Elephas maximus indicus: one gene and its partners. The protein of the gene in region 1 interacts with the protein of each later gene in a pairwise test. Links are inferred from orthologs where the notes say so. Each region holds a gene or a part of one and is shown on either strand. Other genes may lie near its edges. The genes, in order: NECAB2, SSC5D and KANSL1.

Region 1 (4,892 bases):
CGGGGTGGGCTCTAGGGCTGGGGGAGGATGGTTCAGGCAAAGCCCCTGCCAGCCGCCACAGAAGCAGCCGCCCACTCTCCCTCTGTGCTGCCAGCCTGCCCACGCTGCACGGACAGGCACAGCCCTTACAGAGTCACCATCCACACTGCCCACCCCCACACACACGTCACACAAAGAATCAGTGATCGGGGACACAGCCACACGCCAAGCCTTGCACCCTCTCCCAGACCCCTCAGAGCCTTGTTTCTTCAGGAAGGTTGGATTTGGTCTGAACTGAATAGGCTGTGGGTGGGTGGGGGTTGGGGGGGGGGAGGCGGACGAGTGATTTTCTGCGTGGGGAGTAGGTGGCACAGGTGCCAGGGGCTCAGAAACCAGGGCAGGCTGTTCTGGCTGCACCAGGCAGGGAAAAGGAGCAGCCCAATTCCCAAACCTGAGGGCTTCTGTGAGAAAAGCCTCTGCTCGGCTGGGGAAGACTGAATCTCTTTTTCATCGGCCTTTCCGGCGACATCCGCACCGAGGCAGAGCCCTGGCCCCATCCACCAAGGCCAGGGATGCCCATCCCTCCCACACGCGACCATCGACCATCGCCTGGTGGGCTTTGCAAGCCTCTGCACCCCCGCCCTGCCTCGCTGGTGGGACCCAGGTGTCTTGAGTTTTAAGGCTTCCTGGGTGTGGCCATTGTTGAAACCTGTGTGCTAGAGACCTGCTCCACCTGGAAATGAGTCAGGCCCGCAGCACTGGGTACCCCTGGAAGCCTGTTAGAAATGCAGAGTCTCAGGCCCACCTGGCCCCACTAAGTCAAAACCTACTTTTTATCCAAATCCTCAGGATCTTATTTGCACACTAATGTCTGAGTGCGACTGCAGGGAAGGGGCAGACCCTAACTTCCCAGATCTGGGAAAAAAATAGGGGCCTCAGGCAGGTTGCTGCCGATCCCTGAGCCTCAGTTTCCTCTGAGCTTAATCAGCTTGTTAGACTGGGTAGGTAAGTGGTGCTCAAGAGAGGCGGGGAGGAGGCTGGGGCCTCTGGCTGTCCCACCTCCCTCCTTGCCCTGGGGCACCAGCCAGCTGGCCCTGCCACCCTCCATCCCTGGAGCACTGTCCTTTATCATCACAGGGGCTGTACCAGGCTGAAGAAGCAGCTGGAGGGGGGGCTTACATGCGCCCTGCTGCCCCATGGGGGCTGGTCGCCCCTTCCCCTTACTGAACCCTGACACCTGGGGACCAGCAGGAATCACAGTGACTGAGGCTGAAGGGGGATCAGACGCCCCCAAACCCTCCTCCAGAATCAGCCTAGGCACCTCACACCCTTCCTCCCAACAGTGCGAGCCCCCAAGGATGGGGGTCCCAGGCCTCCCCTGGAGCCTGGCACTGGGCAGGCACCTGCTCTGGGCATGACTCGTCAAGTGAGTGACAGCCAGTGATGTCAGCTCCGGGAGTCTGCAAGGGCACTCTGGGAAGGCCCGCTCAGTCACCCCATTTCTCAAATGAGCAAACGGAGGAGGCTCAGAGCCCACCATCATCACCATCAGAGAACTGGAATCAGGAGGAGTATAGACAAAGCCCAGCGGCTCTGGGGGTCTGGGAAAAGAAGCTCCAGCTGTTGGAGTGTGTGTGTGTCTGGCTGTTTGAGTGTATGCTTGGGGCACCAGAGACAGAAGCACTCACAGTCCTGCTGTCCCTTCCCTGCCCAGCCCTCCTCGCCCAGACCTGGCTACAGGTTCCAGGAGAGACAGAGGGAAGAAAAAGGGGTGCACGCACACACACACTCCCAGAAACACAACCCACCTCTTCATACACTCAGAGGTACCCCCACCCCCCACCAGCCACGCACCTCACAGGGCCCTCACTGGGACACACAAGTTGGCATCCCCATGCTGTCACTGGAGGTGGGGGAGACCTCTGATGAAGCCCCTCCATTCCTCCAAGATGCTCCACAGGGGGAAGCTCCCCACCAGCAGGCATCCATCCTGAGGAATCCTCCCTCCCCCATGGGGGCAAGGGGGATGGGTTCCCAGACTGCATGGGAGAGGGAGTGAGGAATGAGTCTGGGGTTCCTGAAGTGCACAGGGCTCTCGTGAGGGAAGGGTACGTGAGGGAAGGGCACGAGTGGAGACAGGAATGGAGGGCAGCTGGGTGCTTGGAGTAGAGTGGCTGGTCGGGGAATGGAAGCCCTGGAGGGGTCCAGGCTCGGGTGGAAGTGGTTCTGCATCAACGGAAAAGAGAGGCTAGGTGGGGAGGGGCTTCACTTTCAAGGGGGTTGTGTTGGGGAAAAGGGTCTTTGATTAGGAATGACACAACTGGGCTGGGGGGCCCTGCGTCGGGAAGAAAGAGGGGCCAAGCTGGGGGTTGTGGGGGTCTCAGAAAAGTAGCTACTGGGATAGAAAGGAGACGGGTTGGGGGTGGCCGGGGCTCCTTTCCGGGAAGCGACAGGGTAAAAGGTGGAGTGTAGGTCTGGGAAAAGGATCGGGGATTGCCTAGGACAAAATTAGTGAGGTGGCCAGGTCCGGGAGGGAGGTTCAAGGGCCCCAGCTCTGCGAAGGTGGGGAAGCGGAGAAGTGGAGGGAGGGGGCAAGGAGGAAACCCCGCTCCAGGTAGGAGCGGACACAGGGTGAAGGGGACTCCTGTCCAGGGAGATGAGAGGACTCGGGGTGCAGACCAGTCAGGGACATGGGGAGGCTGGGGGGTTCACGCTGTGGGGAGCGGAGAGGCCGCGTGAGGGTCCTGCCTCGGTTTGCCGAGGGGAATGGATACGAGTTCCCTGCTCAGAGAAGAGGGGGCTCTGAGTCCTGGCGGGAACAGGGGGTCCGTGTCAGGGGCCATTCCTCGAGAGGAGGGGTCTCGGGGAACAAGGGGCTCCGTGTTGAGGTCCCTTTCCTGAGAGAACGAGGCGCAGAGTCCCAGCAGGCAGGGCGTCTCCCCCAAGAAGGGGGGCTCTAGGTCCGGCAGGAACCGGGAGTCCGTGTCGGCTCTCCTCCCTCGAGAGAAGGGACGCGGGGTCCTCGCAGGAACGGAGTTCCCCCAGAGAGGAGGGATACAGGGTCCCGGCAGGAACCGAGTTTCGTTTCGGGGTCCCCCGAGAGGAGGGCCACGGGGGTCCAGGCAGGAAAAGGGTTCCGTGTCGGGGTCCCCCTAGAGAGGAGGGGGCGCGGGGTCCCAGCAGGAACGGAGGTCCTTGTCTGGGTCCCCTCCGAGAGGGACGCGAGGTCCAGCCGGGACCCGCAGGGGCTCCGGCGGGTCGGGGCGCGCGTACTCACGTCCAGGATGACGGCGGTGCCCCCGCGCAGCGCGGCGGGGCCGGGCCGGGGGTCGGCGTCGGGGGTGGTGGGAGCGTCGGGGGCCAGCGGCGCCCGAGGCTCGCCCATCCTGGCGCCCACCCAGCGCAGCAGCCCGCCCAGCGCCCGGCCCTGCGGCGGCGGCTCCCGGAGCAGCCTGTGCGCGCCGGCCCTGCACAGGCGCGCCGCCCGCTCGCACATCGCTCCGCCACCGGAGCCCGCCGACCCCCGCCCGCCGCCCGCGCGACCCTCCCGGCGCCGCCCGCCGCCGGGCCCCGCCTCCCTTCTCGGTCCGCGGCCGCGGACACTCGGGACAGCCGGGCGGGGACGGGGGGGCCCGGACCCCGCGCCACGTGCCAGGTCCACCACCCCCACCCCGCCGGGCGCTGCGGCGGGGGCTGCCTGGGGGCGCGGGCCGGTTGGCTGGACCCCGGCAGGCCGGGGAGGGGGCTGCAGCGGAGGAGGCGCGGGGGTGTCTGGCTGCTGGAAGGGGGTCCCTGGGGGCTGCCCCCCCTCCGGAGCCCCCTTCCCATGAGCCCCTCCTCCCCCCGTGGCGCCGCCGCAGGGGCCGGAGCGCTGTGTCCGGCGAGCCCGCAGCGCCCTCTGCTGGTGCCGGCTCTAGGTTCAGCGTTCACACGCCTCAGGCCTCCCCCGCCCCATCACTTCCCTGGCACCCACCCTTGCCCTCCAAGGGATTGCACGCCCCCCAGACCTCCCTCTGCCATTACACAGGCCCAGAACCAATCTACGCCCCAGGACACCTTCCTCCTCTCCCACTCCCACTCATCCACCCACTCAAAGGATTCATTAAGAAACACCTGCCACACAGCAGAGACTCCCTGAGGGAGCAGGAGAACAGTGGGATGCAGACCTCAAATTCTCGCAAAAAGACCAGACTTAACGGTCTGACTGAGACTAGAGGGAACCCGGACGTCACGGTCCCCAGACCTTCCATTAGCCCAAGATAGGAACCATTCCCAAAACCAACTCTTCAGACAGGGATTGGACTGGACTGTAAGACAGAAAATGATCCTGGTGAGGAGTGAGCTTCTTGGCTCAAGGAGACACATGAGACTATGTGGGCAGCTCCTGTCTGGAAGGAAGGTGAGAAGGCAGAGGGGAACAGGAGTCAGCTCAATGGACACAGGAAATACAGAGTGGAGAGGAGTGTGCTGTCTCATTAGGGGGAGAGCACTACATAGCAAGGTGTATATATATTTTTGTATGAGAGACTGAGTTGATTTGTAAACTTTCACTTGAAGCACAATAAAAATTTTTAAAAAGAAAAAGAAATACCTGCCAGGTGCTAGGTCTCGTGCTAGGCACCAGGATCCAACCCCGGGGCACAACACCCCCCTGGTGCAGAGCCATACACTGGAATGATTCCACGAATAAATGAACAACTGAAACTGAGATGCTCTGAAGTGGTGGTGCCATGGGCCACGAGAACCACCAACAGGGGTTTGTGTCAGCAGAGGCTTCCTAGAGGAAGTGACCCTCATGCCAAGTGACTCAAAGGAAGAGAAGGAGTTAAAGAGAGGAGGAAAAAGTCATGGGCTAGAGACCAGCCTGTGCAAAGGCCCTGTGGCAGGCTTGGGCATGGTAGGCAGGAGGAACT
Region 2 (4,892 bases), on another chromosome or scaffold:
TGAGACCAGCCGCAACCGCAACCGTTCTAGGGGATGGAGGAGTGGGTGGGAAAGGGACAGTAAGGGACAGGGGAGACTGCAGGGGACCTGAGGGGATGAGAAGGGAGTGAGGAGGCAGTGAGGAGCCTGGGGGGACAATGAAGGGTCTGAGGGGACAGGTAAGGGCCTGGGGGATAGGGAGGGGTGTGGGGGGACAGAAAGGGGTCTGGGGAGATGGTGAGGGGTCTGGAGGAATGGGGAGGGACCTGGGGGGACAGGGTGGGGCCTGTGGGAACGGGGAGGGGCCTGGGGGGCAGGGAGGGGTCTAGAGGGATAGTGAGGGACTCAGAAGGACTGTGAGGGGCCTAGGAGGACAATAAGGACCTGGGGGTTTTGTCTGACCACAGTTTGGGATAAGCACATTCAACCCCCTCATTTCTTATCTGGGGAGACTGAGGCCCAGAGAGGGCAGTGGCTTGTCCAGTGACAGAATCAGGTCCTGCATGAGACCTGCCCATTAAGGAGAGAGCCAGGAATGGGGGTGGTACCTGGGTGCCAAAAGTCAGACACTTAGGTCACTTAAATGAATGGGCAGGTGGTGGGGAGAGGGAGAGACAGGGCTGGGCCTCCTGAATCCCCAAGGGGTGTCGGAAGCTGGGCCTAGGGCATCCAGTTTGGGGGACCTGCAAGGACTTACCTTGGCGGGCAGCCCCGGTGGTCAGCACAGGAGCCCTGGTGGACTTGGCCTGCTTGGGTGGCCGGGGGCTCTTCTTCCGGGAGCCACCACTGTTCTGGGAGCTTCCTACCAGGCGGGGGACTAAGGGAGAAGACAGCCATGAGGTCAGGAGCTCAAACTTCTGTCCACCTGGGGGACTGGGCTATACCTTCTCAGCCTCCAAATATAGCTGGGGCACAAGGAGGACTTCCCAGAGCTGGGAGGAGACCATCCACAGTGAGGCCAGGAGAGCATGGGGCGGGGCTAGTTGGTGAGCCCTGGGACTCACCAGAAGTCGTGGGGGGCACCTCAGGCCCTGGACTGAACTCCCTGGACAGCCCCAGCCACAGATCCCCACCCACAAGAGGGGCCGATTCCCTGGAATTTGCTGCCACACGCTGGCCTATGGAGAGAACAGAAACTGTGAGGGGGAGGGGACAGTAAAGAGGGCACAGCGTCCCTGAGAGAGCAGCAGGGGCTGGGATGCCCATTACCTTGTCCTCCAGGGCTCCAAAGCTACCACTTGTAAAGTGGGGGTCCCTGAGGGAGATAGTGGCTTTTGAGGGGATTAGAGATTGGAGATCTGGACTCCTGGACCCTCAGTTACTGGGGCTGAGGACTTGGGTCCCTGGGTCATCTCTGAAGGAGCTGGAGAACAGGCTGCCCCAAACAAGGACCAGGGACCCCTCACCTGCACAGATGACCCCTGAGCCAGGGACCCCTCACATGCACCGATGACACCTGGGCCCAGGGACCCCTCACCTGCACAGATGACACCTGGGCCCAGGGACCCCTCACCTGCAGATGACACCTGGGCCAGGGACCCTTCACTTGGCAGAAGTCAGCTGGGGCCAGGTACTCATCACCTGGCAGATAACCCCTGGGCCAGGGACTCCTCACCTGGCAGATGACATTTAGAGCCAAGGAGCCCTCCTCACCTGCACAGACAACGCCTGCGTCCTCCTCATGAGAGCAGATGTGGGCCTTCCAGCCACGGTGGGGGCACAAGCCCAGCCGCCCCTCGCTGCCCCGGCAGGCCAGCTCACTGAGCCACACTGGCCCGGCGCCCTCCCCAAAGAAGGCACCTCCAGGGGCAGCCAGCGCACCCCCGCAGCCCAGCTCCCGGCAGGCCACAGCAGCGTCCCGCAGGTCCCAGCCGTCGTCACACACTGTCCCCCAGCGCCCTGCATGCCACACCTCCAGCCGGCCAGCGCACTCATGGGGGCCGTCAGCCAGGTGCAGCCGCTCTGGGGACGGAGGGGAGGCTCTGACCCCGGGGAGAGACACTCCCAAGGCCCTGGGGCAGGATGAGGGTAGGGGATGCAGGGGACAATTGGGAAGCCAGCTGGTCACTGGGGGACCCAGACAACTGGGCACTCAGGAGAGAGGTGGGAAGAGGTTGGACACCTGGGTCCCCAGGGGGAGTGGTTCCCCGGAGGGCCAGTCAAGAGGTCACGTGGAGATGGGGGTGGCCAGGGCTTTGGTGGAGGATGAAGTGAAGCCGATAGGGCAGGCTGGAAGCTCGGCAAGACTAGATGGCAGAAGAGTTTGGGGACTTACCAACAGCCTGGATCCCCATTAGAGCGGCTGCAAGGGGTTTGACGGGTGGGAAAGAGTGAGGGGCAGGCCCCACCCAAGAGGGGTCCTTTCTGCATAGCGGGACCTTTGTTGGGAATATCCCAATACGCGTGCGCACGTGTATACACACACACACACACACACAAGCACACGCGCACACCCGCACGCGCGTGCGCTCGGAGTCCTCATATCTCAGACCTGGAACCCCACTGCAGAGGGCTGGAATCAGAGTCAGGTCCTGGCGCCTGAAATCAGGGCTAGAGACCAGGTCCTTTGTGTTCCCCTAGGGGGTTGGCTGAAGGTCACATGGCTGAGTGGTCCCCACCCCAGGGTCAGGGCCAAGGGGAGGGGCCAGGTCCCTTGGGTCCCCAGGAGGGAGAGACTGGGCATCCCGAAGAAGGATGGATCCTCAAGGGACTGGGGTCCTGGAAGTCTGAGTCCCTGAACTTGATGATGAAGGGGTCAGAGGGCAAGGACGCAGGACCCCTGAGTCCCTTAGGAGGACGGGTCACTCACCGAGGAGGCAGGCCAGGACCCTCATGTTTGCAGAGGCCGGGGCAGGGACAGGGTGAAAGGGGAAGGGGGGGAAGGAGGAGGAGGCAGCCACAGGAGGGAAGTGCCTTGGAGGCGCCCTGGACCCAGGGAGGAGCAGGCAGGGGCTGGACGCTCTTCCAGAAGGAAGAGAGAGGCTGCGAGGAGGCGGCAGGGGACAGCGGGGGGCAGGGAGGGAGCTGGCCAGCGGCTGGGGTGTGGAGAGAAGGGGGGTGGCTGGCGGGCTGGCGGGCGGGCGGGCGGGAGGGAGGGAGGGTGTCCAAGCTGCAAACACCCACACGGGAACCAACCAGGCTTTAAACCAGTAATGACCTGGGCTTAGAGACCTGGGGTGGCAGGCTGCAGGCAGGGCCAGCATGGAGGTGGATGTAGGGGCCTGGCAGAGATGGGGAGCCCCCTCCTGCCTCCTCTCTTGTCCAGCCTGGGAAGATGGTCAGACCACAGTGGAGGGGATGGAGGTTGAGCCAGGTACATCTGGGGCTGGGTGCAGCTAGCAGGCTTGCAGCCAGACACCAGGAAGGACTTCCTAGATTAGGAAAGGAGACTGAGCAAGTTCCCTCCTCCCTGGCCCCTACTCCTGGTAGGTTTGAATGCAAAATCCCTATTCCTGCATCTGTGGGGAGGGTTGGTTGCATATAGATGACTCTAATGAGTAAGAAATGGGAAGTGGAGGGGTATGGGGAGACCTCAGTTTTGGCCAAGGTTTGGGTGGGGGGAGTGAGAACTCCACACACTCACACACATATACGCTCTCTCTCTTTCTCTGCACCAGGCAGCTGTGAGGTGGAAAAAATTCGGTAATGGGGCTCGTGAGTCAGAAGGGCTGGCAGGGACTGAGCCGCTGTGAGCTCATTGCCTCCCCTTCTCCCGGTGCAGCCTCCACCCTCCCCCCCAACCAACAATTCATGTCGACTTGGGGAAGGAGGAGCCAGACAGAAGGGGGGCTCTGAAGACAGACTGGAAAAGGCATCAGAGACAGAGTAGGGCACACAGCAGTTTTGGGCTTTATTAACAAATGAGTGTAAAAAACCAGATGGGTCTGAAGGGAAGGCTGGAGGGGATGCTGCCCGCCCACTGCTCTCAGTTCTCAGCTTCCCAGACAGTCCAGCCCTGGCAGCCCTGCACCTCCCCCCACCACCCCAGTCCCCACCAGGCTCCCCGAGATGCAGACAGCCCTTCCCTGCAAAGGCTCTGCTCAACCCCACCAACCTTCCCCACCCACTCTGCAGCCCTGTCCCCTCCAATCACAGGCCTCAAACCCCAACGCATGCTCAGGAAACCCCCATTGAAGCATGCCCCTGCTGCTAAGCCTCACTCTTAGGGGGCATACTTGCTCATTCTCCCCTCCCAATCTCTCTTCCAGGCCTGTAGCACAGATGGGAGGGGGGGAGATTTCTCAGTGCAGGCTGGATCTGAGGCAGAGGGTTGGACAGGCTGAGCTTTGTTGGCTCCCAAGAGAGAGCCAAGAGTGGAAAGGAGGGATTCCACTCTCAGAAGTTCACACACTACCAAAGTCCAAACACTACCCACATTGGGCAGTGGACAGAGTGGAGTGAACCTTCCTGGCACACAGTAGATGCTCACTAAATGCTGGTTTCCCACCCAGACCCAGCTCTCCTTGGGCAGGTGAGTCACAGTTCTTTGCTGAACTCCCGCACTAGCATGTAGCCCATGCAGCCCCAGCCCCCCTCAGCCTGGTACCCACAGCCCTCCAACATCCCTGCCACCCCCCAGGCGGCCACAGCCACCGGGACCACAAGACGGGCCCGAGGCTCACCCATGCCCCCTGCCCAGGCACGGGCCCGGGCCTCGGCAAAGGCCAGCAGCCTCCTGCCCACGCCCCGGCGGCGGTGCCAGCGGGAAACAGAGAGGCGGGTTACCCGGGCCCCGTCCCCTGCATTTGTGCCAGGTGCCAGGGCCAGGACGCCGCACACATCGCCCGAGCCACGTACAGCCACCCAGGGGCCCCCCAGACCACCCGGTGGGGGCAGCGAGCCCCACCTGGCCCTCAGGCCCAGCTTCACAGTGGCCACAGCCAGGAATACAGGCAGGAGGAGGGCCAGTGCAA
Region 3 (4,892 bases), on another chromosome or scaffold:
CAAAGTGATTAAAATGAAATTCAATATATATATTGATACCAATTTCCTTAAGTTTCTAGGGAACTAGTAGCCATTGATATTTCCGTCTGCTTCCCAAAGAGCACAGAGGATGCCAGGTACTGGCACTAAACACGTGGTACCGAAGAGAAACAAACATTCTTGTACAATAAGATCCTGCAATTACTATGGTTCAGGACTTCTGGCTGGGCTCCCCATGCAAACCCTCCAACTCTACAGAGAGAATGGCTGGAAAAACTATGCCACTTTGGCTTTTTTCATACTAATACAGGCACTCATTATCCACCAATAGCAGCTGGAACATAAATGAAAATGAGCACTCAGTCTACATTACCTAAAGATTTTCCACAAGTCCAAATATTTAGGGTACAGACACTGCCTTATACTGTGATTTACCTACTGCATCAACCTGGAATTCCACAGGCAGATTACTATACAATGATCTTAACTATACTAGCATCAAGCTCCAGGGAAGGCAACCTGTGCCATCTGGGGACACTGGTGGAGGACCTCCATCACTCCTTATCTTTTTCTCTGTCCTTCCTCCCCACGTCTTAGGCTTTGCCCTCTGCTTAGCCTTAATGGACAATACTTTAGCCATCTATACACAAAGGGTGGGAAAGAGGCAAGGGACAGTGGAGAACAACCACACCAACGAGTGTTTTCACCTGAAGACCATTCTGCCCACACTGTCCAAATAGCATTTACCCCATGAGATGAAACTTGACACAAAATGCTACCTGTTGAGAAAAACAGCATAAAATTTCATGCAGAAAGCTAGGGAGCAGAAGGCGTACACTCCAAAAGAGCTGTCCACGTAGACCAGCAAGTCTTAGAATGTTCTAATATACTATATAAAGTTTCAGAATAAACCAATGGTTAATGAAACACCTTTTGCAATACATGAATCAGCTGATTTGCAAGAGTGGGACACACCCTAGTACCTATGACTCTCAAGCACCTGTTTGAGAGTGGACCTCGATGTCTGAATTGCCAGCTCATCCTGCTGGGAATGGAACAGAATTTTACAACTATGTGGGTTGTCATAATTAAAACTAAAATATTGAACAAACCATTATAATGGAAGTTAATCTGAGGACTTCATCAACATTTTAACACCAGTAATCAAGACCAGTAGCAATACAAAGGGAGTGACCAATCAGTTCCTAGAAGGCAAACACAATAATTTTTGAGGGGAGAGGAGTGCCAGGTAAAGAGCTGAATAACAAATTCAAGAAGTAAAATGTTCTCAATTCTAAAGAAAATAAATGAGGCCATTAATGAAAAAAATAACATGTCTTACCTTAAGAGGCATCCAAATAGCATTCATAGTGTCAGGAATAGTTCAGACAATACTCAGAAATGAGCAAGAAGGGAGTCTTAGTAATTCCCTTGAAGTCACCAAGTATGAGCAGGTAGGAAAATTTTTTGTTTCAAGAAGTTATCTGAAAGAGAGAACTTACATTTAGACTAAAAAAAATAAATCAATAAGCAAATAGTTTAAGCTACCAGGACAGAGATTTGAAGTACTACTTGCGTCACCATCCTAAAAGATGTACAAAACAGTCAGTCTCCTTTTGGAAAGGGCAAATGTGTAGGTTTATGTATCTATCTGTACATATACACATATCCTAGATAAAATAAGTAAAACATTTTGTTGTTGTTGTTTATCAAGAATTAGAAAACCAAAATCCCAGAGAGAAAAATGATTATCCCGGGCACTTCATAAACACTACTGAAAGATAATTTGTGTTTTTTGTTGTTGTTGTTGTTGTTTACAAGCCCCTTACCACACTTAAATTTTATTTTGTAAATTAAAACCTCTCTGAGTTTTATTAGGCTTAAATTAAGTTTCAGAGCTGATTCTACTGAAAAATAAAATCTCTTGACTAAAATACTACAATCAAGGAAAAGACTCCTCTTCCCCAGAGATCTTTAAAAATCTACCAAACAACTTAATTTTGATGATGGGAGGGAGACAATTTTGCCTGGCGGCAGGAGGATGGACTAAATGACCTCTTGTAGGATCCTTGTTTAAGTCCTAGGCCTGAATGTAATTCCAGCTTAACCAGTTACTGCTTAGCTTAAAATGGAGGCTGGCCCGAGTAGGGACAAAAATGACAGCACCCACCTCTTTAAAATATATTTCGAAAAATCTAAGACGAAAGTATCCCCGTTTTTTAATAAAAAATAAAATAAAAACCTCTGGAGTGGATTTGTTCTTGGTACGTGTTTGTCACTCTGGCTTTGAAGAAATGGCATCACTTTCCTCACCGCTCATCGGATTTTTTTTTTTGGCGGGGGGGGGGGGGCCTGCAGTTTGACTCTTGCCCCAAGTCTCAGGTATGTTTAATACGCCCCTCCAAGATCCCCACATTCGAAGCCAGGAGGGGAAAGAAAAGGGAGAGCCCGAGTTCCCACCCCTCCCCCCAACTTGGACCCTTGTCCCAAACCGAATCCCCCCCCCACCTCCCCGCAGTGGGGCGACTCCTCCTGCCCCATACCCATTGTTGGGGTGGGGGAATAGGGAGGAGTGAGCTCAAGGTGGGGGAACCGGCGGCCGGCCGTTTCCCCAGCTCGCTTCTGGAGGGGCGGCCCGCGGGATGCAGCTTCCCTTCCTCTCCGCGTCGGTCCGTCCCACCTCGGCTCGGCCTGGCGCCCTGGGCTCAGCTCGGCGCCCCTGCCCCCGGCTCCGGCCTGCCCCCCGGTCAGCCAGGCTCCCCTGCCACTCGGCCAGCGACCCGCGGCCCAGTCCTGAGGGTGGGCGCAGGGCGGGGGTCCGTGTGCCCCACACACGCGTCCCCACTCCCCCAGCCCAGCCGCTTCCAGGGCCCTCGGCGGCGCCCGCTCCCAGGGCCCTTCGGCTCCCCGCCTCCTGGCCGGGCCGCCCCCTCGGGCTCTCCCCGTCGGGGCCGCCTCCCCTTCCCCACCATCACCCCTACCCACTCGTGCCCCCACCCCCCTGGGCACCAGTGCCAACGGCAGCTCCCCCAGCCCCGGACCTACCTGCACGGCTCAACCAAGCCTAGAAGTGGGGGCGGGGAATCTTTCGCCCTCCTCCGTCTCTCATTGGCCCTTCCGGGACACATCGTGGGCGCCATTGGCTGATGGCGGGTGTCCGTCAGAGCGGCGGGGCTGGACGGAAGGGGGAGAGGGATGCTGGTGCCTCGGCGTCTCTGTCTCTGTATATCTCTCTGTCTCTGTCTCTGCCTCAGCTCTTGGAAACTGGAGGCTTTTGGACTAGGGGACTGGAAAGGGGCCTGAGGTGGGAAGAATAGGCTAAGGGAATCCCTGTCGAGCTTCCCAACCGTCTGCCACTCTGACCCCCTACCTAAGTCCCCTCTCTGTCCTCTTCTCCATCACCCCCAGCCCCTGCCCCCCACCCCGGTAGATTTTTCATCCAGGAAGCGACGTGATGAAAACTCGAGGCCGGAAAGCCACAGGGAGAGATTTTATACATGTATATAAACATATAAACCCACTGCATATACACATATAAATATTTATATACATATGTATAGTTAACAAAATATAAGGTCATGAGGGCCTGGAGAGAAAAGGGCACACATCTCTGAGACAGAGGACTTGAGATATAGCCCCTATAAAAAGGAATCCAAAATCACTCTAAGATCTGGTAACAGTGGTTACCTTCTAGGAGGGGAACTGAGTGCCTGCGGAACCAGGTGGGAGAAAGACTTATATTTTTCACTGCATATCCTGATTTTTGTGCTATTCACAAAGATTACCAATTTTAAAAAACTGATTTAAATTTTTAAATAATTCTATGATCGCAAAATCAGGGGAACAGGCAAGGTGGTTGTTCAGGAAAATTGGGACAAGATACAGATTTGGGGAGGAACTTAGTTATTAATATGTTCGGTTCCAGATAGAAGCAGTAAAACCAAGTGGAGGTGTCCAGAGGCACTTGGAGTTAAGGAATTTACAAAAGGGTGAGCAATCTGAACTAGAGATTTAGGGTTCTCTGCCTAAATATAGTGGTCAATGACATGCTGATGGATAAACTCACCAAAGTATAAAAAGATACCCAACAGTTAAAGTCAGACATTTGGAAAAGAAACAGAGGGTCAGTGAGGTAAGAGAAACAGAATATGGAAGAGTTGTGAAAGTTAAGGGAGAAAGGGCCTCTGGAAAAACAGGATAATAAAATCTATGAGAAGCTCACAGATCTTGAAGCTCTCTTCAGTGATCCTCTTCAGGCTTTGGTAACCCTGTGACAGTAAGAATGAAAGCCAAAAAAAATACCCATAAAGCAGGGGTTCTTAACTTTTTTATGCCATGGACCCCCTTGGCAATCTGGTGAAACATATGGACCCTTTGGTCTCAGAACAATGTTTTTAAGTGCATAAAAAATATACATAAGAATTCATGAGACACCAAATATTGAAATATAGTTATCAAAATATTTTTAAAGTGTGATATAGTAATACATACTTTTTATCAATATATTAAATAATAAAAGCTAATGGCAGATCTAATGACCATGATAATTTTGAGCTGGTGTAGTGTTTAAGAGCTACGGCTGCTAACCAAAAGGTCAGCAGTTCGAATCCACCAGGCACTCCTTGGAAACTCCATGAGGCAGTTCTACTCTGTCCTATAGGGCTGCTATGAGCCGGAATCGGCTCAATGGCAGTGGTTTTTTTTTGTTTGTTTTTTGTTTTTTTTGGTTTTTAAATGAGCATAAATAATATTTCAAGATATCTGCAACAACTATAATACAATATGAAAATATCTGTGATTTATTTTGGTGACAAGATCACAGGTAGTGCTAATACTGCTATGGTTTGTTGTCTACATGCACAACTGAAGAAAATACTAAATTTGTTCACTTTAGTAAAAATGAAGATTTTTCC

Evidence for each region.
Region 2: the proteins of NECAB2 (region 1) and SSC5D interact in binary tests that used the Homo sapiens proteins (3 or more experiments, as listed by UniProt). The two-hybrid records come from large-scale screens. The link is inferred for Elephas maximus indicus from reciprocal best matches to the Homo sapiens genes NECAB2 and SSC5D.
Region 3: the proteins of NECAB2 (region 1) and KANSL1 interact in binary tests that used the Homo sapiens proteins (3 or more experiments, as listed by UniProt). The two-hybrid records come from large-scale screens. The link is inferred for Elephas maximus indicus from reciprocal best matches to the Homo sapiens genes NECAB2 and KANSL1.

Annotation. Positions count from the first base shown.
Region 1 is NC_064839.1:49,959,786-49,964,677, reverse strand, and holds the start of NECAB2 (N-terminal EF-hand calcium-binding protein 2), read right to left. Parts: upstream 3,476-4,892; coding exon 3,257-3,475; intron 1-3,256. UniProt on the Homo sapiens protein: May act as a signaling scaffold protein that senses intracellular calcium.
Region 2 is NC_064829.1:91,527,834-91,532,725, forward strand, and holds the start of SSC5D (soluble scavenger receptor cysteine-rich domain-containing protein SSC5D), read right to left. Parts: upstream 2,930-4,892; 5' UTR 2,814-2,929; coding exon 2,789-2,813; intron 2,282-2,788; coding exon 2,255-2,281; intron 1,942-2,254; coding exon 1,633-1,941; intron 1,098-1,632; coding exon 984-1,097; intron 797-983; coding exon 677-796; intron 27-676; coding exon 1-26. Other genes in the region: NAT14 (probable N-acetyltransferase 14), read right to left, coding at 4,456-4,892.
Region 3 is NC_064837.1:52,968,049-52,972,940, forward strand, and holds the start of KANSL1 (KAT8 regulatory NSL complex subunit 1), read right to left. Parts: upstream 3,055-4,892; 5' UTR 3,025-3,054; intron 1,464-3,024; 5' UTR 1,322-1,463; intron 1-1,321. UniProt on the Homo sapiens protein: Non-catalytic component of the NSL histone acetyltransferase complex, a multiprotein complex that mediates histone H4 acetylation at 'Lys-5'- and 'Lys-8' (H4K5ac and H4K8ac) at transcription start sites and promotes transcription initiation.